Linked DNA regions of Drosophila melanogaster. The gene in region 3 interacts genetically with the main gene of each other region. Each region holds a gene or a part of one and is shown on either strand. Other genes may lie near its edges.

Evidence for each region. A genetic interaction does not mean that the proteins touch.
Region 1: of spz (region 3) and mad2, changing one suppresses a phenotype caused by changing the other (phenotypic suppression), as found in Drosophila melanogaster (one study listed by BioGRID).
Region 2: of spz (region 3) and Toll-6, changing one suppresses a phenotype caused by changing the other (phenotypic suppression), as found in Drosophila melanogaster (one study listed by BioGRID).

The regions. Positions count from the first base shown.
Region 1 is NT_037436.4:5,810,409-5,816,731, forward strand, and holds mad2 (mad2), read right to left. Parts: upstream 2,686-6,323; 5' UTR 2,607-2,685; coding exon 2,534-2,606; intron 2,454-2,533; coding exon 2,307-2,453; intron 2,246-2,306; coding exon 1,842-2,245; 3' UTR 1,727-1,841; downstream 1-1,726. Other genes in the region: kri (krishah), read left to right, coding at 671-912, 978-1,510, 1,657-1,667; vn (vein), read right to left, coding at 4,407-4,458, 6,239-6,292.
Region 2 is NT_037436.4:15,333,112-15,340,917, forward strand, and holds the start of Toll-6 (Toll-6), read left to right. Parts: upstream 1-3,580; 5' UTR 3,581-4,113; coding exon 4,114-7,806.
Region 3 is NT_033777.3:27,063,451-27,073,976, forward strand, and holds spz (spatzle), read right to left. Parts: upstream 6,621-10,526; 5' UTR 5,760-6,620; coding exon 5,694-5,759; intron 4,046-5,693; coding exon of another isoform or gene 3,908-4,045; intron 3,750-3,907; coding exon 3,672-3,749; intron 3,435-3,671; coding exon 3,158-3,434; intron 3,031-3,157; coding exon 2,649-3,030; intron 2,582-2,648; coding exon 2,404-2,581; 3' UTR 2,353-2,403; exon of another isoform or gene 2,239-2,352; coding exon of another isoform or gene 2,110-2,238; exon of another isoform or gene 1,986-2,109; intron 1,873-1,985; 3' UTR 1,638-1,872; downstream 1-1,637. Other genes in the region: CG43935 (uncharacterized protein), read left to right, coding at 2,110-2,238. UniProt on the Drosophila melanogaster protein: The activated form, spaetzle C-106, acts as a ligand for the Toll receptor. Binding to Toll activates the Toll signaling pathway and induces expression of the antifungal peptide drosomycin.

The DNA of each region.
Region 1 (6,323 bases), on a different chromosome or scaffold from region 3:
TGTGTGTGTTTGGGCGAGTGCGATTCTGTTTGGATATGGATATGGGAAGTGGATCGCCGCTGGTCCGCTCCTGAACTGGGCGCTCCTCTCGCGGGGGGGCGGAAGCGCGTTGGCGATTTATTTTAGTCTCTGGCTATGAGTCTCCTTGTTCAGCTGGTTGGTTCAGATGGAACAGTACAGAACAGAACAGCAGCGGTGCCGATTTCGTGGCTTTCGTCGTGGCCCGAAGGTTATTGTTTATTAGTTAATGGCAATACAAATACACACACACATGGGGGCACACGCACCAACACTGCGACGCACGCACAACGCACCCACACTCACGCACACAGACACTGTGCTCAATGCCTTGCCCACGCGCGCCCTTTGAGTCCGCTGATGTGCAAGAAAACGTTGTTGTTCGCGAACGCCTAATCGCAATGCAGTAATCAGTAATTAAAATGCACTTTTTTCTTTGTTTGCGAGTGAAACACGAGGTGATTTGCTGAGTGTGGCCAGTCGTGCGCTAACTGCCAATTGCTAGAAATTACCGAGGCGCAACGAACGGCAATGCCGCGACAAAGTGTGGCCGTAGCAAGCCAAGCACGCGCTAGGAGGACAAAGTGCTACGTACAATTCTTTTAATTTATTTATTTTATGTAGCCAGTGATAGCAACCAAATAGCCGAGTCATGCGCACCGGCTCGCCCAGCAGCAGCGGCTCCCAGTCGGAGGAGGGCAGCAGTTCCTCAGATCACCAGCAGCCGCAGCAGGAAGCCCAGGAGCAGGAGCAACAGCTGCACACTCCCACGCATGCACATGCCGCGGTGCCAGCTGCCACATCGGAGGAGATCCTGGCGGAGTACGGCAGCAACCTGAAGCTACTCGAGTGCAATTCCCAGGTGGCCGAACTGCTGACCATATTGCGCGACAAGTAGGTGACGTTGGGGAGGAGGAGTCAGCAGCGTAGTAGCAGTACAACAAAATTCTACCCCCCAGGAACACCACGCGCAGTGACTTCAAGTTCTATGCCGACCGTCTCATCCGGCTGGTCATCGAGGAGTCGCTCAACCAACTGCCCTACACCCATTGCGATGTGGAGACGCCCACCGGTGCGATTTACGAGGGACTGAAGTATCGCTCCGGCAACTGCGGCGTGTCCATCATCCGATCGGGAGAGGCCATGGAGCAGGGACTGCGTGACTGCTGTCGCTCCATTCGCATTGGAAAGATCCTGGTCGAGTCCGATGCCAATACGCATGAGGCCCGCGTGGTTTATGCCCGCTTTCCCGATGACATCGGCAGCAGGCAGGTGCTACTCATGTACCCCATCATGTCCACGGGCAACACTGTGCTGCAGGCGGTGAATGTGCTGCGGGAACACGGCGTACCCGAGAGCTGCATCATCCTGTCCAATCTCTTCTGCACACCCATTGCCGCTCGGACCGTAGTGAATGCCTTCCCCAAGCTGAAGATCCTCACCTCCGAGCTGCATCCCGTGGCACCTAATCACTTTGGCCAGAAATACTTCGGTACAGACTAGATACTTGGGTCTATCTCGCAGACTTGACGACTAAGCGCTGCTTAGGATAGGTAGCTGTCGCCCAGACAAACGCCCTTTCCTGCGTTGCGCTCCACTAACAAATGCTACCCTCTCTCACTCTGTTTCGTCCTCCAGATTGCATTTGAGACACACAGACAAATAGACGACCCCTGCGGCCAACCAAACTACTACTTAGCAACTGTTAGCTTTTCACAACTGGCTTTTAATGCAACTCTCAAATACGTTACGTTCGTTACGCACTATTGTAAATATAGAAACGAAATAAATATTTAAACATTAGGATGAGGCGGTACTGCCTTTTAAGTGCTCATCTTGTAGTTGACCACGGTGTCCACCTTGTGCAGTCCTGTAGAAAAGGAGCGCAGCTGGACGGCCTGCGGATTCTGTATGACAATGGCACCCGTTTCGTCCCATTTGGCCGGTAATTCGGTGTTCTGCAGCGTGTGAATCATTATGTCGAAGGTGCAGATGCAATCGAGCAGTGGCAAATAGCTCACGGTGGCCGAGATCTGCCGCATAACGTCGCGAATCTCGTTCTGTATGCGACTCAGCTCCTTGGTGGTTGTTGCCTTGGTGGGATCACTGATATCGCCATCGCCCAACTCGGCCTGCATATTAAAGTCCCAGCACTCGAGCACCTCCTTGGTGTGGGCGTTCGTAATGACCATCGAGATCTTGTTGATCATGTTCTTCGAGAGCCATTCTATAGGTGAATACAAATAATGGTCACCATAAACTTGAATTTTTTCCAAAAGACCACTAACCTTCAGTTTGGCTGAGCACGTTCTGCAGAAAGGTCTTGATCTTGGGATCCTTGGACATTAGAATGGTTAGCCCATACTGCTGCGTGTTGTTAAAGTCTTCGGCTGGGTAAATTCCGCGTTGGAAGAGGATCGAATTGATGCCGTACTCTATTTAGGAAAAAAAAAGAACCAGAGACGCCATTGCAGGCGAACTTACAGACGCTTTCGTGACGTAGCTTGCTACTCACTCAGGTATTCCACAATAATCTGAGCGGAGCCCTTGAGTGTGATGCAGTTTTTGGTCGCCTGGGCAGTTGACATGTTGATTTAAGTCGATTTAAGTGGGAGAGAAATTAACAATTTGCTAAATTGCCGCTATTTTTGAAAGGTGTTGACTAGCAGAGATGACAGAAGCTCGATATACATTCGATACGTTTGTCTGCAATATATCGATAAATATCGGTGAATGTACTCGCTAAATTCAGTATATTTCTATATTTGGTGTGTGTATTGGCTATGCGACCAGGGATGGTGGAACCAGGGATGGCTAACTCCGACCAGTGCTGCCAAGCAATTCCCAAAGGGCGGCATATTTAAATTCATCAATTTATTTGCGCAATAAAATCAAAACACAATTATTGATTGCAACAAATTCAGAATTTTATTGGCCATCCTTGTGTAAACTAAATCTAAGCATGAGATCCATTTCTGAGCGCAAAAGTAATTCCGCGTGGTTCGGCCTAATGGGTTCCATCCGGTTCATCGTATTCCTGCCAAGAGACTAAAATAAGACAAGACTTTGATATAGCCAGAACAATAGAGGACCCAGTTAATCTATGCTATCCAAAACCTAGCTCGGTTCGTCAGAGCCTTGATTACTCTGCCCTCTGATTTGACAGAAAAGATCAGCAAAAGCAGAGCAGCAAATCATAAACGAAGTACAAGAAGCCACAGTGAACAAGAACAGAATATCAGACCAAATCAAAAAGCAATCGATGTTTGTAAAATGTGAATTATTTGCAAATTTTTAATTAAGTTTTTTCTTACGCATCGTTTTGTTTGTTTTTGTTGTTTTTTTTTCGTTTTTGTTTGTTTAATGTTTTGTTTTAAATTAAAATTAAACTTTACATGGTATTTTTGGTATAAATCTTTCAATAATTAAATATATAAAAAATTTGCCACTTAAAATAACTAAAAATAATCTCTACGCACTTTCTTGCTTTACGCCTAGCCATACAAACTGATGTCAACATACACATTGTGAAGAAATAAAAACTAATTTGCCATTTTACATATTTTGGTGTTGAAATTGCGCAAATCCAAAAAAAACGAGGACAAATAAAATAGTATTTCGAAATTAAGTAGCTCCATGGTGTCTGTGTGGGGTGTTCGTGTGTGTGTGTGTGTGTGTGTGTGAGCTTATAGCTATAATTACGTTTAATTTAGGTGTAATTAAATACAATAAATTACGGTTAAAGAAGGGCTTGCATTACCTTAGTTGAAATGTACACAAAACTTATCGTTAGTTAAAACGAGAGCTATTTACAGGATTTATTACAAAGTTCTCGGCTACGTCAACCTTTGTTATCATTTTAAAATTATTGTCTATGATACAACAACAAAAGCGCAACAATGTCAAAGTCAGGGTCGAATCGGTAATGCTTTGCTCTCGAACTTTGAACCGCAAACTTCGATCTTAGATGTTATATGTATGTGATATATTTCGTAAAATAAATAATTTAAAATTCTGCTCAGCTTTCATACATCCGATTTATACATTTAAGATATTCTGTCACCGTGCACAAGAACAAACGTAGCTAAAGTCAGTCTGGATCTGGAACTTTTCGCTCGGGAAGAAGGAACTCTAGGCGAGGGGAATTGTACGAATTTTGAAATGTTTTCTGTTTTCTGTTTTCGGATATGTATTCTTTGTAGTTGCAAACTTTGAGAACGGTGATGGGTTTTTGGGCATGGTCAGCTGGTGCAACAAATTCTCTAATTTTTTAATAAACGTAAAAAATTACAATTGTCCACGTTTTTGGAGTGCAGGGAGTTCGATTTTTTTTTTGTTTTTCGTTTTGTTTATAAAATCATAAAAATAATGAAACAAAATTCTATGCATTAATAGTCGTTATTTAAGGTATGTATTTGGCCGTAGATTGCAACAAAATATCTGTGAAGAGATTAAATTATAAATAAAATTAAAAATTAATCTTTCAGTTCTTCATTTACTGCTAACTAAAAGCTGGCTAACACCATTTCCACAATTAGGGGCAACTACAAGCATAAAATTGCGCTCTCAAATGAAAAAATCCATGCAGAAGGATATTGAAGAGAAGGTCTTTAGCAAGAACTACTTGAAAATTAGTGATTTGATATATGTATGTATATATTTTTATTTTGGGTTCATTCGAGCTCAAGATTTCACTTTGCCGTGGAGTTTACACTTAAGGAGGAAACGAGCACAAACTAAGGAAGTAATAGTGAACAGAGTTACCCAAATCGGAAACGCAGGAGATTAGTTAAAAGAAAAAATACAAAAAAAAAAAAAAACAATCACCAAATAAAAGAAAACGAGGAGCAGAATGAAATTGTTGGTTTGTTTGATTTGATTTGAATTGGGTTCTTTTCGGTGTATTTTTTTTTTGGTTTGTCAAAATCTACAGCCAAGTGTTAATGTCTAATAACGAGTAATAACTTAAATTAATTGAAAATCATAAATTCTAATGGGTTATCGAATGTGGTTTGTTTTTAATATTTGCAAACTACAAATAATAACACTGAAAACAAAACAAAATTCAGTTCCCGTTTCAAATGTTTAGTCAGTTCGATGCCTTTGTGGGTGAGTGCTGTTTTTTTTTGTAACTAACTTGCCAGCGTTTATGCGTGTTGATATTCGTGTATCTAACTAAGAGAGCCTCTGTTGATTTTTATCGTAAATCTGGATATTCATATTGAGTGTGAGTGGGTGAGTAAGTGTGGGCTGAGCCAAAGGATTCGACAAGTTTCTCAGTACTTTGTGGGGGAAATGTCCCTTTTTAGTCAAATTTTCCTGTTGTCCGGTGTCCGTCCGCTTGTCCGTCCGTATGTCCGAGTTGCTTGATTATTTTGTTTTGTTTTGCTGTTTTTTGTTTTTTTGTTTTACATTTACTTGTGGTTTTGGTTGGTGTGGTTCGTGTGATGAGTGAATTGAAATTAAATTAAGTTCCTATGTAAACACTATTTAAAATAAACCTTCTATAGCACCCTTTGTTTTTATTCGTATTTATTTGCATTCTTCTCGTTTTTATTGATTGCTCTTAATATGTTTTTTAGTTTATAAAATTATATATATTATGAACAACTTGGTTAGTTATTTATTTCGTTTACTCTTTGTTTTCATTACTAAGACTTTACTTTGTTTCTTTTTGGAATGTGTTCTCTAATAAAACTTTTAGTTCGTCGTTTTACAAAGTGACTGTTGATAGTTGGGGGTCTGTGTGTGTGGAGTGTCTGTGATTGGGTGGGTGTCTGGAGTTTAGATTTTGGTCCGATTCTGCATACTGTTTTTGTACTTTCTGTCTGTATGATTGTGTGTGGCTGTGTTTGTGGCTTTATCAACTATATTTGGTTTATTTCACTTTCTCTGTTCTCGGATGCTTTGCAGAAAGTTTCAATGTGATAGGATTGCTGTGAACTGTGCAATGGGAATTTCGTTGGATTTTCCATTCCATTCCATTTTAGGTTGTAGTACGTTATCGTATTTCATTTTATAATAGTTTATGTTATTCGTTATTTTGGTATGGGCACTGAGTTCGGTTTGATTGATTTGATTTAATTTGATTGGATTCGGTTTAGGTATTGTGTATAACTCGCGTTTGACTCGACTCGCAAAACAATCGATGCTATAGAAGTGCCTATTTTAGCAGTAATAACCTCCCTGATAATTTTTGCATGATTCGGGAGAGCTGTACCTACTGTCGGGCCATTTGTTCTCGCAACGATTGCCGAAGTATTCGGTTGGGCACCTGAAAAGACAGACAAGATTGGTTGCACAGA
Region 2 (7,806 bases), on a different chromosome or scaffold from region 3:
ATTTTTTTTTATTGATTTAAAGATCACAATCAATATTTTTTCTACATAAAAGAAAAAAAAGACTTGCTGTCAGCTACACCATGCTTTGTGTCACTCAAATGCCATTGGATTCTATTAGACATTTTTTGTACAAGTGTATTTGGAGATTAGGATACCCCCATTTTGCCCGCCCTCATGACAGACACTTTTTATCCTGTCCGTATCTTTTGGATGCGGATCCCCGACTAGTTGGACAGATAGCCTAGGAAAATTTTTAGCTTTAGTTTGCTGCTAATGAGCAATTCATGTCAATTGCTAATTAGTGCGCTGGAGATTCCTATCCGCCTGTCTGAGCTGCCTGAAATGCCTCACTGACTGACTTATCCTATCTGGCTATCTGGGCACTTTTATGGCCCAAAGAAGCTCCGAGCTCCAAGCTCCAAGTCAGCGAGACACAATGGCCGAGAAATTAGCAAACCCATGGCAAGATAAGTCAATTAGGTTTGGCTTTATAGCTGCTGCTAGTGAAAACAAAAGGAACAGAAAAAGGCAGGCGAAGGCCGGCCAGTCGAAGGAAAACCAAATCAAATAAAATGAGGCCAAAATAAAGGCAACAATTAATAAACGCAAACAGAGTGAAAGAGAAACGACAAACGAGGACGAGCCAAAGCTGCCAAAAAGGATAGCTGAATGGGTGAATCCGATGGGTGTGGGTGGGGATAAGGAACATCGCATTGGGTGGGTACTGCAAGGATGTGGGGCAATGGGCGGTAGGTGGTGGGTGTTGGGTGGTGTTTGCCTGTGACGTGTATGGGCAATTTAAGCTGGCATCAGACAAGCAACTGACAGGAGGGAATCGAGTCCGATGCTCTTGTTAACCAGACCTGCGGTCCCCAGAGACGCAATTGTTACATTTAATTGTGATTTTTGTGCCCCCTCCTCATATATAGACACACTGAAAAACATAAAAGTAAATATTTAGTAATCAAAATGGATTGGAATATGTAATCCCATTTTCACGTAAAACGCGGAATGTACGTCAAAAAATTGTTATAGCGTAGGCTTGTTTAATCTAAGACTCACTTTGGTGTTTTGATTTGAGCTTCCCATTTATCCATGGCAGACCTAATGATATTGAGTTGCTTCAACAGATTGAAAATTTTTTACAGTGCACCCGTAAAGCTGCTTGGGCGCCATAAAATATGCAACCTTTCTTTCTAGCTTTCCCCCTTGGCTTTGAGTGAAAGTAATCCGAAATGCTGTCATTAGGCCGAGTCCATAGCACAGAGCCACAATTAAGATTGACTTGAAAGCCGTCCAGGCGTCAGGCTAATACCACGACAAGGACATCTACTATAGCCGGCAAACCAATCCAATCTGCACACCGAGAGTTATGGCTTTGTCGAAAAGTGGACTCCGATTCAGCTCCGCTTTGCCCAGCCTCTGGCTTTATCTACTGGGTCATTTCTCATAATTTTCCACAGCTCGAGAATTATTGCAAAAGTTAATATTAATGACGTTGATGAAAATCTTGTCATTCGTGTTACCGAAAAAAAAAAAAAAACGAAGCGAAAGAAACCCACGTTATGGGGCACATAAATAAAGGAGCTGCGACCAGGACCACGGACAAAAGCCAGAAGCGTTCACCAAATTGATAACTACCGAAAAAAGAATACCAGGCCGGGGAAGAAATATTCCTTCTTGGTTGCATGTGCCACCACACAAAGGAAAGCGAGCCACAAAACCTCGTCCTTGCCGCCATTTACATTTGAAAGAGCCTGCGAAAGCCTGAAGGTGAGTAAAATAAGGGGTGCACTGAAGGAAAATCTTGTGAATAAAACAGTAATACATCCCTGTACAAGAGTAATTGGTAAAAGAAAAACATCATGTGCCTAAATAACTAATATTTTTAGCGAATATCTTACTGAGAAAATCTCTCAAATTAAGACTGAACTGCAATAGTTTTCTTCACTGTGCAGGAGGCTTATTAGACTTGGCTGCTGTTCGTGGCTCTGCTGCTGCTCCTGCTGGTGATATAATTTTAATAACTTACATAATATATTCTTTTGTGTGGCCAAGCCACATAATTGTTAGAAACATTAGGCAAATCATTACCCCAGCACGAAAAATGGGTGGGAGGCGTTCTGTTGGCTGACGCAATTTGGCAAAAATGTTTTTGTGTTTGCTTTTAGTGGCGACAAAAAGATCCTTAGCCACAACACCCATGGATATGGGAAAACTTTCAAGCCAGCTAAGAAATATTAGCCCAAGATAAAGTGTCCAGGGCAGCTGTTTTTCTTGGGAATTAGTCATGAAAGACCCGAAGTTTATCAAGGTTACCATGCCGTGGTAATCGCCATTGAATTTGTTGGCGGTGATCCATCAATATTTCTGCTTTCACCCAAATATTGAACAATCAAAATACATACATGCCGGAGGTTAACGAAATAAGGAACAATAGACAGTCTTCTTTGTAAATTAACCCTTGGAAAATTTCCTTGATAGATTGATTTCTTTTTCGAGATACCAGGACTACTTTAGGTAAGATTATAATACATTCATCAAAATCATAGGCGCGTGAAGCAAAAATTGTATATTTATTATTTGAAGTAGTAAAATGTTCCAAGTGTAATTAATCTCAAAGAAATATTAATTTAAGTCCAAAAGACAATAACATAATTCAAAATTTAAGTAACTACAAAAATCTGAATTTGCAGTGTGCGATTTAAGATATCCTATAAAAGGAGCTTTTTATAAAAACTCTGCTCACGAATTTTCATATTTGCTATTTCCAGCATCTCCCAATCGAGTCTAACCAAGTCCTTGCATAACTTTCCGGATTTGAGAACGAGGAATCCACAGAAATCCCCACACATCCAAAGCCCAACGAAACCCCATAATGCTGGCCCATAATCATTATCATTAACCTGATGGGGAAGACAGTTTTTTGCTGCTTTGCTGGGCGAAAAAGAAGTCATGAAACCACAGGAATTGTTACATGAGGCGCAAACAAAACAGTTTAATTAAAATTATTATTGTAATTTAATGGAATGTGAGGAATTATTATTTTTATACGGGTCTGGGCCCACGAAACAGGAGCAAAAAGCAGCCGAAGGACCTTCTCGGCACACCGACACACACATGCACATGGCATAAAAATAAATTACGTTTGTATGAAGATTGGCGCTGGCCCATGCACATCATATATTTTCATTATCAAAACAGAGACAGCAGAGAAGTCGCCGGTTGGCGGCGGGGGGTGCGGAGCTCTATCTCCGATTCGGCGGCAAAAAAATAAAGGATATACGAAATACGACGAAAAAAGACAGAGAAAATCAAAAGGAAAACACGAACGAACGCCAGCTGTTCGATGCGATTAGATGGAGAGAAAGAAAAACATTTTCCAGCATCCGTCGAGCCAGAGCGAATTTCCCTTTAGTCATACTCTCCGAAAACTCTCAGCATTTCCCGCCCGTGCAGAGCCTGTCGGCTGCTCTTCGTCTGTTTTCCAGCCCCCTTCGGCTCGCGTTCGGCTTTTCGGATTTTCGGGGTTTCGAGTTCGTGGACGACTCTCCATTTAAAAGAGAAGTTGCGCACGTTGCGGCAGTCAGTCGAAAATCAGCCAACGTGCGCGTTACATTACGAACCGGAAAATATCGACGCTGCTGCACCGCTCAAGTCCCAGAAAAAGTGGGTTCAGTTCAGCCAAATGAAAAAGTGATAATAGAAGTCGAGCCCGCAGCTAAATTGAAATTCATCAAAGGTTCCTATAACGCGACGTGTAATAAACAAAAACTTCGAAGCGAGTAATTCAAAGCGCCGAAACGAATAAAAAAGAAAAATTTAAATATAAAGAGGATAGAAAAGGCCAAGTGCTAGAAAATGTGCCGGGTGTAAGAGAGAAGAAAACACGGAGAGCATAATTAACTAAAGAATCGGGGGAAAATAAAGAAAATCTGGCTTGGAGTAGAGGGAGCACAGAAGCCGAAAATATGTGCGCAGACTTTTCTTTGGCCAGCCAGTGGAATTGATTTTCTTTTCGTTTCTCCCCAAGACCCCCGCTTGTACCGTCTTTCCCCCCTCCGCAAACCCATTTTCCGGTGCCTCCACGCAGCTAAACCGTGAATCGCCAAAATGATCTACTATATGCTACTCATACTGCCCGTGGTCCTGGCCCAGGATCAGCAGCACACCACGGAATCGCTGTCCACCAAGCACCACCAGCAGCAGCAGCTGTCGCACTCGAATGCGATAATGGGTGAGGCTGGGGTCTCCAACTCGCAGCTAATGCAGCCCTCGACTCCGGCGCGAACCCTGCGACCCTTGACCGCGGGCGCGGGTGGTGACCCTTCGCTGTATGACGCCCCCGACGACTGTCACTTCATGCCAGCAGCGGGTCTGGATCAGCCGGAAATAGCCTTAACGTGCAACCTGCGCACGGTGAACAGCGAGTTTGACACAACCAATTTCAGTGTTATACCCGCCGAGCACACGATTGCCCTGCACATACTGTGCAATGACGAAATCATGGCCAAGAGTCGCCTGGAGGCGCAATCTTTCGCCCATCTGGTTAGGCTCCAGCAGCTGTCCATCCAGTATTGCAAGCTGGGGCGACTGGGTCGCCAGGTTCTGGATGGTCTGGAGCAGCTGAGGAACCTGACGCTCCGGACGCACAACATCCTGTGGCCAGCGCTGAATTTCGAGATAGAAGCGGATGCCTTCTCGGTCACTCGGAGGTTGGAGAGACTGGACCTCAGTTCGAACAACATCTGGTCCCTGCCGGATAACATATTCTGCACCCTGTCCGAGTTGTCTGCCCTGAACATGAGCGAGAATCGCCTGCAGGACGTCAACGAGCTGGGCTTCAGGGATCGCAGCAAGGAGCCAACCAATGGTTCCACCGAATCCACCTCCACCACCGAATCGGCCAAAAAGAGCAGTAGCTCAAGCACCAGTTGTTCGCTGGACCTGGAGTACCTGGATGTGAGCCACAATGATTTCGTCGTGCTGCCAGCAAATGGATTTGGCACTCTGAGGAGGCTGCGAGTCCTTTCGGTCAACAACAATGGCATCTCCATGATTGCGGACAAGGCTCTCAGTGGACTGAAGAACCTGCAGATCCTGAACCTGAGCTCCAACAAAATCGTGGCCTTGCCCACAGAACTCTTCGCTGAGCAAGCCAAGATTATCCAAGAGGTGTACCTGCAGAATAATTCCATAAGTGTGCTGAATCCGCAGCTCTTCTCGAATCTGGACCAGCTGCAGGCCCTGGACCTGTCCATGAACCAGATAACCTCCACCTGGATCGATAAGAACACCTTTGTGGGTCTGATTCGTCTGGTTCTGCTTAATTTGTCGCACAACAAGTTGACCAAACTGGAGCCAGAGATCTTCAGCGACTTGTACACCCTGCAGATTCTTAATCTGCGTCACAATCAGCTGGAGAACATCGCAGCCGACACTTTTGCCCCGATGAATAATCTGCACACGCTGCTGCTGTCGCACAACAAACTGAAGTATCTGGATGCATATGCTCTGAACGGATTGTATGTACTGTCGCTGCTCTCGCTGGACAATAATGCGCTGATTGGCGTGCATCCGGATGCCTTCCGGAACTGCAGTGCCCTGCAGGACCTCAACTTGAATGGCAATCAGCTGAAGACAGTTCCGCTGGCCCTGAGGAATATGCGCCATTTGAGAACCGTGGATCTGGGCGAGAACATGATTACCGTTATGGAGGATAGTGCGTTTAAAGGTCTGGGAAATCTCTATGGTCTCCGCTTGATTGGCAACTACCTGGAGAATATTACGATGCACACCTTCAGGGATCTGCCTAATTTGCAAATCCTGAATCTCGCCAGAAACCGCATAGCAGTTGTGGAACCGGGGGCCTTTGAGATGACCTCGAGCATTCAAGCTGTGCGTTTGGATGGCAATGAGCTGAATGACATCAATGGCCTCTTCAGCAACATGCCCTCCCTTCTGTGGCTGAATATATCCGATAATCGTTTGGAATCCTTTGATTATGGACATGTGCCATCCACCCTGCAGTGGCTGGACCTCCATAAGAATCGGTTGAGTTCCTTATCAAATCGTTTTGGTTTGGATAGTGAGCTAAAACTACAAACTCTCGATGTGAGCTTTAATCAACTTCAGCGCATTGGACCCAGTTCCATACCAAACTCTATCGAACTGCTGTTCCTGAACGACAACCTGATAACCACCGTTGATCCAGATACCTTTATGCACAAAACCAATCTGACCCGGGTGGATCTCTATGCGAACCAAATCACAACGCTGGACATCAAGTCCTTGAGGATTCTGCCAGTTTGGGAACATCGAGCTCTGCCAGAGTTCTATATTGGTGGAAATCCCTTCACCTGCGATTGTAACATTGATTGGCTGCAGAAGATTAACCATATAACATCGAGGCAATATCCAAGGATTATGGATCTGGAGACCATATACTGCAAGTTGCTGAACAACAGGGAGAGGGCCTATATTCCCCTGATCGAAGCTGAACCCAAGCACTTTTTGTGCACCTACAAGACCCATTGCTTCGCCGTTTGCCATTGCTGTGAGTTCGATGCTTGTGATTGCGAGATGACCTGCCCCACGAATTGCACGTGCTTCCATGACCAAACCTGGTCCACAAATATTGTGGAGTGCTCGGGCGCAGCTTATTCTGAGATGCCGAGACGTGTGCCCATGGATACCTCTGAGTTGTATATCGATGGCAACAACTTTGTTGAATTGGCGGGACATTCGTTCCTTGGTCGCAAGAACTTGGCTGTTCTCTATGCGAACAACTCGAACGTGGCCCACATATACAACACCACTTTCAGTGGCCTTAAACGCCTGTTGATCCTGCACTTGGAGGATAATCATATAATCAGTCTGGAGGGCAACGAGTTCCACAATCTGGAGAACCTGAGGGAGCTATATCTGCAATCAAACAAAATAGCCAGCATCGCCAATGGGAGTTTCCAGATGCTGAGGAAACTGGAGGTCCTGCGATTGGATGGCAATCGATTGATGCACTTCGAGGTGTGGCAACTAAGTGCCAATCCCTACCTGGTGGAGATCAGCTTGGCCGACAACCAGTGGAGCTGTGAGTGTGGTTACCTGGCCAGGTTCAGAAACTACCTGGGTCAGAGCTCGGAGAAGATCATAGATGCCTCCAGGGTGAGCTGCATCTACAACAATGCTACGAGTGTTCTGAGGGAGAAGAACGGTACCAAGTGCACTTTGCGAGATGGTGTAGCCCACTATATGCACACCAACGAGATCGAGGGACTGCTGCCCCTGCTCCTGGTGGCCACCTGTGCCTTTGTGGCCTTTTTCGGTCTGATTTTCGGACTCTTCTGCTATCGCCATGAGCTGAAGATATGGGCCCACTCCACCAACTGTCTAATGAACTTCTGCTACAAGTCACCCCGATTCGTTGACCAGCTGGACAAAGAGCGTCCCAATGATGCCTACTTCGCCTACAGCCTGCAGGACGAGCACTTCGTCAACCAGATCCTGGCCCAGACGCTGGAAAACGACATCGGCTATCGACTGTGCCTGCACTACCGCGATGTAAACATCAATGCCTACATCACGGATGCCCTCATCGAAGCCGCCGAAAGTGCCAAACAGTTTGTGCTCGTGCTGTCCAAGAACTTCCTGTACAACGAGTGGAGTCGCTTCGAGTACAAGAGTGCTCTCCACGAGCTGGTGAAGCGCAGGAAGCGGGTGGTCTTCATCCTGTATGGAGATCTGCCCCAGCGCGACATTGACATGGACATGCGGCACTATCTGCGTACCAGCACCTGCATCGAGTGG
Region 3 (10,526 bases):
CTCTTTTAACGCAGTCTGCCGGTGATTTTCCTAGACACTTCGGGGCATATCAATGAGCCGCCGGGTGATGAGCCTTTTACGAATGCACGTCACAGCGCCCACATGTTGCGCTGACGCAGGGAATAGTTGGTGACCAAGTGGAAACGGTTTATCGGTTTTATCGTTTGCTCATTAGCCGGAATGTTTGCCTTTTTTATCCGCTACTGCCAACAGTAGGCAGTTGCATAATTTGGCATTATGTGGGGCCGAAACGAGAGCTGGAGCTAGAACTCTGGAAAAATCGACTCGAAGTGGAGCCAGTGCAGCGGTTGACTGGTCTAAAGCAGCGACTACCGGCGTATTGGAGCCCGGGCGTCGTCAACAGAACGTATTTATACCAGCCAGTCAGCCAGCAACCGAATAACAACAACACGGCTGGCTGGCTGGCTGGCAATGGCAATAGTACTACCAACAAACAAATCAGGCAACCCCCATTAACTCCTTCGGCCATGCAAATGTGCTGCGGCAATTACGAGCCACCAATGCGACCCACTAGCCCATCTCCATTCCCACCCAAAAACGCCGACACTGTCTGACTGTCCTGCATGTTGTCCATATCCTTGTTTTTAGTTCCATTGTATCCATTAGGGCTAGGGTCGCTCCGTTTCGCGAAATGGTTTGTAGCTAATATACAGCAATATTATATATGGAGCATTACTTAACAAATGATTTAGAAGTAATTAGCACCGATAACGCAGGCGTACTTAATATACAGATGTGTAAACGCTGACTGTGATTATGTATTAAACGTGCACCTTTGTCGTGCAACCTGACTAGTATTGCTAAGTGATTAAGGTATTAATCTGAGGTATGCGGCGTTCGAATACAAGTTCCAGTGTATTTCCACAGTGAATCAGAACAGAACACGAAGGGACGCCAAGTGACCACAATCCGCGCAACGGAGCCAGTGGCGTAATGAGAAAAAGTACATTACAAAGGGCAATCCAAACTCTACGATTATATATATACATATATAAAATCGGTGGGCGGAGATATATGGATAGTTGCTAATTGATATGGACGCGGCTGTGTGTGGCTGTTGGGGATGTGCATGATTGATGACCCTGGCCAATGCCCAATCGACCAGGGCACGACACTGGATTTGGCCAAACGGGAAGGATACCTAATAATAGTAATTAAATTGTGGCACTTTGCCCGCCCACAACGAATCCACAAGCATTCGCATTGTTCGGCCTAACTTTGACATAGTTTATTGTGTCTGGGAATCGATAAATACTATTGATTTCCACATGTGCCAGCGCCAGCACCTCAAGACACATCGCGCATACGCCCCGCTGACAGTTGGAAAAATCCAGCGCCAGGAAGCCGAAGTCGATGCATGTTATCCTTTTGCCGGTGAAAGCCAACCACCACCCCTTTGGGGGAATGTGTTTACACTCACTAGGGTGTAATTGGTTTGCGCAGCGGGGCGAACCGAATTATTGTTAATAAGCAAATAAATTGTCCACCAGGTACTCGCTGATGGGTTCAAAGAACTTTACTTTGCTGGCATGTACTTGCATACATTTATTATACATTATCTTTTTTTAACATACATTTTTCAAATCGTTATTTCTATCTTTCTTGTTTTTTTTTTTGTGTTTTGTGTTTTGTTTTGTTTTTATTCTAGGACTAATTACTTGCATTTCTAGCTTAGGCATTAGACGTGGAAGTCAAAAATGAATATATGACACGAATATGGTTAAAATGACTCGACTTAAAGCTCTAAATTAATATGCACATTGGTCTATGTGTGGATTCAGCAGATTATAGAATAAATCAATGACCACTGATCAGTTTGGCCTGCCATTCTGTGGTGGGTGAAACTTCTTGCTGCAAAGAGAAGAGATACAATTTATATTTTTGGTCTAGTTAACAAGGAAATAATGTCAATGAAGCTGTATACATATTTAGAGTTGTAGTCTCAGTCTGAAAAGTTTGACTCTTCGAATCACAAGAAACATTATTCTTGAATTTAAGTACAATACTTGATAAAGCACAGTTCGAAAATCCGCATTCGAACATATTTTCAAGACTTCTGAATTGCAGACATTATACTATCTCATTCCGATGGATCGCGTCGTTGGCAATTTCGAGAACAAGTTTAAGCATTTGGTGAAGGCTGAAAGCAAGGGAATGGCCCTAAAGCTGGTGGGATTCTACGCCGTCGGCTGGACCCTGCGCAAGTTGGTCAAGTGAAGCGTTCGCCTTAAGTCGCAAGGATTCATTGAAATCCTCTACTTCTTGGTAGTCAGTCGTTTCTGTTCTGTACCTATTTTTAAAATTTAATGTACGAATAAATCGTGGCCTCACCTCAATATCACATTGTCGCAGCCATCGACTGGAGAATCCCATTTTCCAGAATCACCCAGTCTTCAACGCGCACTTGCAGCAGGAAGGGATCTTGAAGGAATTCTGCACCACGTCCAGTTCGCCATCACTTTTGATGCTGGCCAGGGTCTGCTGTGTGTAGTGCTGCTTGCAGATTGGATTATAGCTCTGCGGAAAGTTGGCGGCGAAGTCACAGGGTTGATCCGCTCCTCTGGAAGGGAAGGTTTGGCAATTAGCAAGGCTAATGGAATATATCATAGATTCAAGCTATAACTTACTCGCACTCTTCGATCTGGATGGCCTGTTTGTACTCATCGTTATTGACAATTAACTGCCAGGTGTCGTCCGCCCTCAAGCCCTTTTTTGGGTACACCAGCTTCCTGATGCTCCTGCAAAGGAATCGCTCGTCTGAGCCACCAACGCGAGAGCTCACATCCGTGGGCTGAAGATCGTTGCTAAAGAACTTGGCAAAGTTGTTTTTTAGCTTATGTGTGAGGCCTGAAAGGTCCGGATAGTCGTCCACATTCGTGCAGAAGTTTCTAAGGTGTTGGCTTTCATCCTTGGCGCAGGGATTGTGCTCTTTAGTGTCATTCCTCAAAGGACGAGCTGGGGATTGTGGTGGCCGATACTTGGCTATGGGGGAATCGGGGAAGACAAAGGCTAAAATTAGGCAAGCGCCAAAGGCAGTTGGCCAGTGAGTATGGGATCGATTTAGTAGTTAGTTGTAAGGCATGTTTGGGTATCGAATGTAACTGAGCATATATAGGCTAAAATACTTAGTACTTACTATCCGATGGATGTCGGGGGGGTATCGGCTGTTCGGATTGCACCTCCGTGTCCGTCCTCTGCAAAGATACGAACGTATCGTTAAAGACCAGATTCAGCTTTCCATTCGGGGAGCGCTGCACTTTGAAGTACTGATCTGGTTGGATCAGGCTGTGATACTGATGGTAATGGCGGTTCGTTTCGGGTATCGGAGATTGATTCTGATTCTGTTTCTGTTTCTGGGTCGGATCGTCGTGCTGGGTGGGTATGGGCATGAAGGGTGCACTGTCCGCGGACGTCTGTACGGGTAAAATTTACTCGTGTTAGTCTTTAGCCAATTGGCAAAAAAAGGAAGCACAAAGACAACACACAACCCAATAAGAAACCAAATGAGCAGTGAAATGGGGATGCAATATAGGATGAAGAGTAGTTATAAGAAAGCAGCGCACCAATTCGTCCTTGAAGCTATGAATTGCGTTTCACATCAAAGACACATTTTACAGAGAAATCATGCATTTGCCTATGTATACACTTACATTAAAGAGGACAACTCCCTCATCATTGGTTATTGTAAAAAGCTCTTTGATGATACGTTCATACTCCTTGGCCTCGTACTGTAGCAAAAATGGCGAAATAAAAAGACAAGACAATAGACTTTAGTCTCGGTTCAGAAGTTTTGACCACACCACAGACAAATTAAGGCTATTAAGGTGTTAAGCATAACGATACAACTGGGTCTGTTTCGGGACACTCGGGGACACTGTGCTCACACCTGTAAGTGATTAGATGCTGACTTTCCGGGTCCGCCATTGTTAATGGTAGCCAAAAGGGCCTTATAGTCTGCCACTGTTTTCTCTGCCCTCACCTCGGCCTCGTGTCGCTTCGTTAATTCGATATTGATATAAACTATCTGAAAGATACAGGTGAGAGTTTTGTTTGCAGTTCATCAACATTGCCAAGACAACGGAGTATATATTCGTGGGTCGGTGCTCGGGCTCGTTTGTTTGTCAACCCAGACTTCTCTCTCTCTCTCTCTCTATTGTCGGGCACTACATTTGCGTATTCAAAAGGTTTGAACAGCTGTTTTTCGGGCAAGCGCAGTTTTCTCTCGCAATTCTATAGTTCCGTTGAGTTAGGACCCGAACCTATATACATATAACAACAGCCAGAGTCCAAAATCAGAGTTGATAATCCCCTCGAGAGTTGCCTCTAGCTTAGCAACTTGAAAACGGATGTCCCTCTTCCGCAAGCAATAAAGACTGAATAATTGGAAAATCTAAAGGCAAGCCGATCCTGAATAAAAATCAACATAATCCAACCGGAAGGTTATTTATATAAAAGAACAAGCCAATAGTTGCTTTTAATGTATTGATAATCCGAGGACCATAATTATGCAAATAGCTTGGCGATTTTAGAATTATCAGCACTTTTAGTGCTACTCTTTAAAATATTTCTATGTTATATATATATGTATATGCAGTGATATAAATAAGCCTTGATAATAGCCCCTAATCTCGTCAAGACTTTTTATTATGCTTAAATTCTTGAATAGAGTCCATGGAATCGTCAACAGAATTTACCCAAATTAAAATTGGGTCTCGACGAGCATGTAGAAAACCCGCTTTAAGGTGCCAACCCATCTGAACTTGATTGTCTGAGAACTTTTGCGATTTCTCGGAAATGTTTTTTCCCAATCAATTAGCAATCAACCTTTTTTTAAACGCGTTCATCAGTGTTTGGCGTAGACGCAACTAAGGCAAACATTGGATCGTTTTTCCATCACAGTTTTAGGTTTTCCGTGAACCTATTGGAATTTAGCTAGAACTGAAAACGATCTTTAGAACCGGTCCGCTGCGGAATTCGCGGAAAACCGGAAAGACAAAAGTTCTCGGGCGCTTTTCAAACGGATTTTCTAACATTCGACGCCATTAATACGAACTAATTGCTTTTCTCACAGAGATGATCATACAATTTGTCCGGCAGTAAATTACTTCCAAAGTCGTGTGCAGAATGTCTGGCATTGTTTGTGTCAATTAATATTATTGTAATGCCTATGATGTGCATTTATCATATAGAGAATGAAAATTGCACATAACCTGCCGCTGGCAATGCGAACAGGTTTTCTAGTCTGTGACTAAATTTAAACTTGAAACTGCCCTTCGGCTAATGGAACTGCTAGAACAACTATGGAAAATCTAAAATAAATCTTAATAGCTAAAAAGCCCATAGCCCGAAATATATTGCAATGAAATGACAGTTATGTTAAGCATAGATTAACACGGAACAGAAAAAAACAGAAATGCAGTCGAACTTTCATAACTGGAACAAGCGAGCACCTGTTTCAAATAAACAAAAAATCAAGTTCTGGAGTCTTAAGATCTTAAGTGCTTGTCTTAAGAAGACAAGGAGACTTTAACCTTTTATCAGATTAGATAGATTTGGAATAAATTATTGTTTCGACGCAAAGATCTTTAAATTTTAAAACTTTAACTTCTTTTGAAAGTTTCCCTTATGGAGGTTCGACTGTTTTGAAATTTGTAAAATTGTAAATTTCTCACCGTGGCAAAGAAGGCGAACAGCAGCAGCAGGACTTTGAACAGCGATATCCACATGGGCGTCATCATGCTCGATCTCGGGCTTAATCAATTGGATTTATAAATATATATAGATTCTGCGGACGGCGAACGTCTGCGTCGGGGATTAGTAATAGTATATAGCAGGTGATTGGCGGATCGGTGGCGTCTTATACCAATTTTCTTATTTCTACAACTTTGTTATTATAGCGCCGGCTGCTGTTGTTTTTTAGTGATCTGTGCGTTTTTTTCTTTTTATGGGCTTTGCGTATATAAAAAATAAACAAACTGGCACGACTAAATGTTAATGCCGGGCCTTTATACTGGTAGCTGGTGTTACTGTTGCCTCTTATTTATTTATAAATATTTTGTGCGGTGGCTCTGTGTGATATGTTGGCTATTCCGTTTTGTTTGTTTCCTTTGCACGTTTGCGAGACACACAGACAGACACTTCAATTAGTCGGTTTGCTTTTCACTTTAGTTTCGCTCTCGCCGCTTTAGTGGAACCGTTTTCGGATCGGTTCGATTTGGTTGCTCTGATGAAATGCCGCGATATTGATATCGTTTATAACCGATTTGGCTTGCAACTGGGCAATGGGCTATCCAAGTAGCTGATCGCAGGATATGTGAGTCTTCAACTTTTCGGCTCTGTGCGCCGTCTTTGAGTGACACGAAAAGCTCGAGATGAATGCGCTTTTATGGACCTCAAGCCCGATACCATCTGCCACCGATCTTAAGTGTTTATAGCGACGCGCGCTGGGATTTTCCGGTCAGATCGAGAGTTTCACCATATCTCCCGGGCATGCAGAGTGTTAAGCATTAACCAAGTTCGATTTCGACTGCGATTTCGATTTGGATTTCTCGCGATCGAGAACACACGACAGCGAGAGCGCACGTCTGGGAGGCAACTGAAAATGAAAAGTGGAGCCCAGAGGCCGCCGACTCGACTCGTCTGCTCCCCCAAACAATTGCTCAGTGCTTAAGTGCAGCTTTAAGCTAGCTTGCGAGAGTGTGAGCGGGAGCGGGCGCTGTGCGCGAGCGAGACGCCGCCGGTCAGAGGCGGTGGAAGCGGGATGGGTAGTGAGCGCGAGGGTCGTGCGAGGGAGCGGGACGTCTGGGCGAGCGGACCGCGATTTTATCACAGCTGACTCCGAGCAGTGCTACTAATTGCGCCTGCTTCACGAAAAACTTTACCAGTCGGAATTATCTGAATCATATTACACTTGGAGAAAAGTAAGTGCACATCAAACTAACACTATAATGACTAACGTTTTTAATTACATCTGTTGTTAAACCAAATACAAATCACTGGAGCTTTAAGAAGAATATCAAACCCTCAATTGTACTATTTTAACACATAAGTTAAAAACATACTTTCAAAAACTAATTCCATACAAACATTTTATTCATTCTAATCAGCATAGTTGCCATAAAGCTTTGCATAAAATGTACATATCGTTTGAGTGGCATTTGACACCAAAAATTAACTTCGTTATCGCAAAATTTTTTAAAACAAATATTACGAAAAAGTTAGAGCAGCCACAGAGTAATGTTTGGATGCCTCGAAGTCAGAGCTTTGTTATCTGCGGAAGTCAATCAAAGCTGCATTTTGGATGATTAAGTTTCCGTTTGAAATAATGAATACTGTACTTAATAAACACTTATGTACAAATTTGCCCTTTTCGTCGACCCATTTTAGTAATTAACTATTATCTGTCCGCTTGTTATTGAACATACGCGATTAGAGATTTATTGCTTTTTTATTAGGTATACTTAAAGAAGCAGCGATTGAATTATCACTTTTATTTAAATCCAGAAAGAAAACAAGTTTATAGGTAGCCCGAAAATATAGAAATTTCCCCGAGCTGAAAATAACCAAACTTTGTGGCAAGTGGGTGGTTGATTACCACCTTCTCTATCGGGCTAAACCCATGTTAGCCAAGTGTAGGGCTTCTCACAGTCGGTCAAGTTGACCTGTGAGAAGGTGCCGGCCAGCACTTGTTGCTGCTGAAAGTAAAAGTGGTGCCGGGCCAAAGCTCGGCATCAAAGCTCGCGGAGCACAACTGCTCTGCTCTCGGCACCACCACCAATGAAACTATCCCCACGTTGGAGCCCATCTAATATTTCTAACACATTTGATATTCCGAACGGGTGCCGCAAACGCCAGTTCCGTTGGCGCACGCGTCATGGGAGCCGCAGATCCGAATCGCTTAAATTAGCCCGCCAGTCGCCGCCTTGGAGCGTGCTGAGGCGCTTGGGAAAGATGGTGACTCAATTGGTATTTCCGAGAACGGCGGACAAAAAACCGCATCTTTAAGTCGCACACTGCAAGTAATCGCCATGTAAACGGCATCTGACGCAGTCGTGCCTGAATGGATCTACCTTGTGTGCTTATGTTTATGGCCCAAAGTGGATGTCGTTCGCCATGGAAAAACGGGAACTTCTTAGCAGAATGCATTTTACTTGGCCATATCTACTCATAGCATAGCCTTTCCCCCGAATTATGCACCAATGACTGAGTTGAGGCCATTTCGTAGAAACATCAGCTGCACTGTTGATTCATAAGAATTTCTTTATCAATTAGTACGTAATAAAATGCAATGAAGGGGGGCTGTGTAAGTAGATAACTAAATTGCATGATGATGCAATTTTGTATTATTGTAATGCCCATACATATCTGTTCTAAACAATCTAAAATTCTCAGAAATCAATTAAATCCTCAACTGAACAAACCATTTCAATATATTACGATTGCATCAAACTTGTTTAAATCTACTTGCATACTTTAGGGATCTATTAAGCTTGTGGTGCATATATTTAGGAGGTTTCCAAATTGTATTTTTATGAGCTAAGTTAATGTATATAATTTCAGCTTCCACTATCCTAAATGTTAATTTGAAATCCATTTAGCAGTAAAATTTTAAGTTAGCACCGCCTTAACTAACTTCATTAATTACTTTCAGCGAAACGGCTAAAGTTACAACTTATTAGTAAACATTGAATCATACGTTTGTCTGAGAATTGATACATTGGAAAAGGTCAAGACTTTTCACAATGTCTTGCAATAGTTGTAGTATGATTAACTTTGTAAAGCTTTGAATACCTGTTAATATGTGCGTAGATTAGCTTTAATGAGCAAATATACTTCCTCTTTTAATTTTAATCATTTTATGTATCATATTAGCACAAACTTTGCGAACATTAGGTAAGCCTAAACTGTTAATTTGAAGTGCCAAATGAAAATCACAGAGCTTAAGTAATTAAGGTGCCATTTTTCCAACGACTTGATCCAATTAACCTAATAGTTATTAATCGAGAGGGAAACGAGCTCATTTAGGACGCCCATTAATCGATGTGGCACCTTGGCGATCCAGATGAGCGGCAGATTGGCCAATCGGGCGAGGATGGCCCAAAAGTCACGGGGCAAGTCAAGCGAGCCAGCTCGCGGGTCAAGTTAACGAGAAAATGGTGAAATAGTGACATACGCTTAATGACAGCCTGCTCATGCATGTGTGTCCAAGTGGTCGCAGTATCGCGCTATGTGTCCGTCCGTCTGAATAAGTAATGAAATTGCATTGCACATTCAATAAAATATATTCAAACGGGGCACAATTAAAGCGGCACGGCACCTGAGAAAAATGTGGACGCACCGCTTTACAAAATGCAATTTCAGCCATGACAGCGCCACACGCCAGCGTATTTCTTGTGCGTTCGCCTCGAAAATAAACATTCGAAACAGGCAACGAACAGGACGAGATCGCGGCAGCAGCTGTTGCTCAATTTGTCGGAATAGGCCGATTCGATTGCATCATAGCCATAATCTCGGCAGTATTATATTTTGACAGTGGTGCAAAAAAGGGGTATGAAAAATGGAGATGCCCCTTGCTGGAGTGCTAGGCAAATATATAAATCCAAGCATGCCAGATGCTTTCACTTTTTTCCTGCCCAGCTGGCTGGCGTTCCATATCCCATGTATTGCACCAAATTGAATCATGCCGTGCAGTTTCCTCTCAACTAGACACACAAATAAAGCATAATAGAAATCGACCAAAAACTGCCAAAAACGGGTTCATTTCCGATATGGATTTCAGATATTTTTGTCCCCGCCGCAGCCGAACATTTGCGAATTTGAAGTTGAAGTTCATTGCGCAACTAACGAGCAACTGCAGCAGGAAGTCGAGGAAGTGGAGTGGACTTTGGTGGCTCTGGTGTTCGGTGTTCGGTGTTTGGTGGTCGATGCTCGGGTATTTTCTAGCATTTCCCAATGCGCAGCGGCCTGTTATCGCACTTTACGTTACACTCTGAAAACTTTTCCCAACACATTTTCACATTGCGCTCGCTCTGCCAATTGCCCCACGTCAATTAACAAAAAAACGAAAAATAAAAAAACACAACACTAGCAGCCGAGGAAAACCCATGAAAAGTGAGTGAAAAATTAAAAGCACATGTGTGTTTTTTGGCCTCGGACTTTGGCTGGATGATGATATAAAAAGATAGAAAAAACCCGAACACCATAATGGCAGGAAGTGGCACTCGAGAGCCAGGCGTCTTATAAATTTATTTATGAGAAGACCCAGGACATGAATTCCCGTGACAAAAATGATTTTATTTTAATTGTGGACTTATTGCATTACCGTGTTATCTCATCGCTTTTTTCATCTGTCATTAGCCGATATAAATTGTATGTTAAATTCAATCGGTTACTTCCTTCCTTTTTAAATTTGACCGGTTGTCGTTCGATAGTTTTTCTTTATTATCGCTGCGGTGGCGTATACGCAATATTGGGTGCGGAACATCAGTTAAGTTGAATTGGATTCA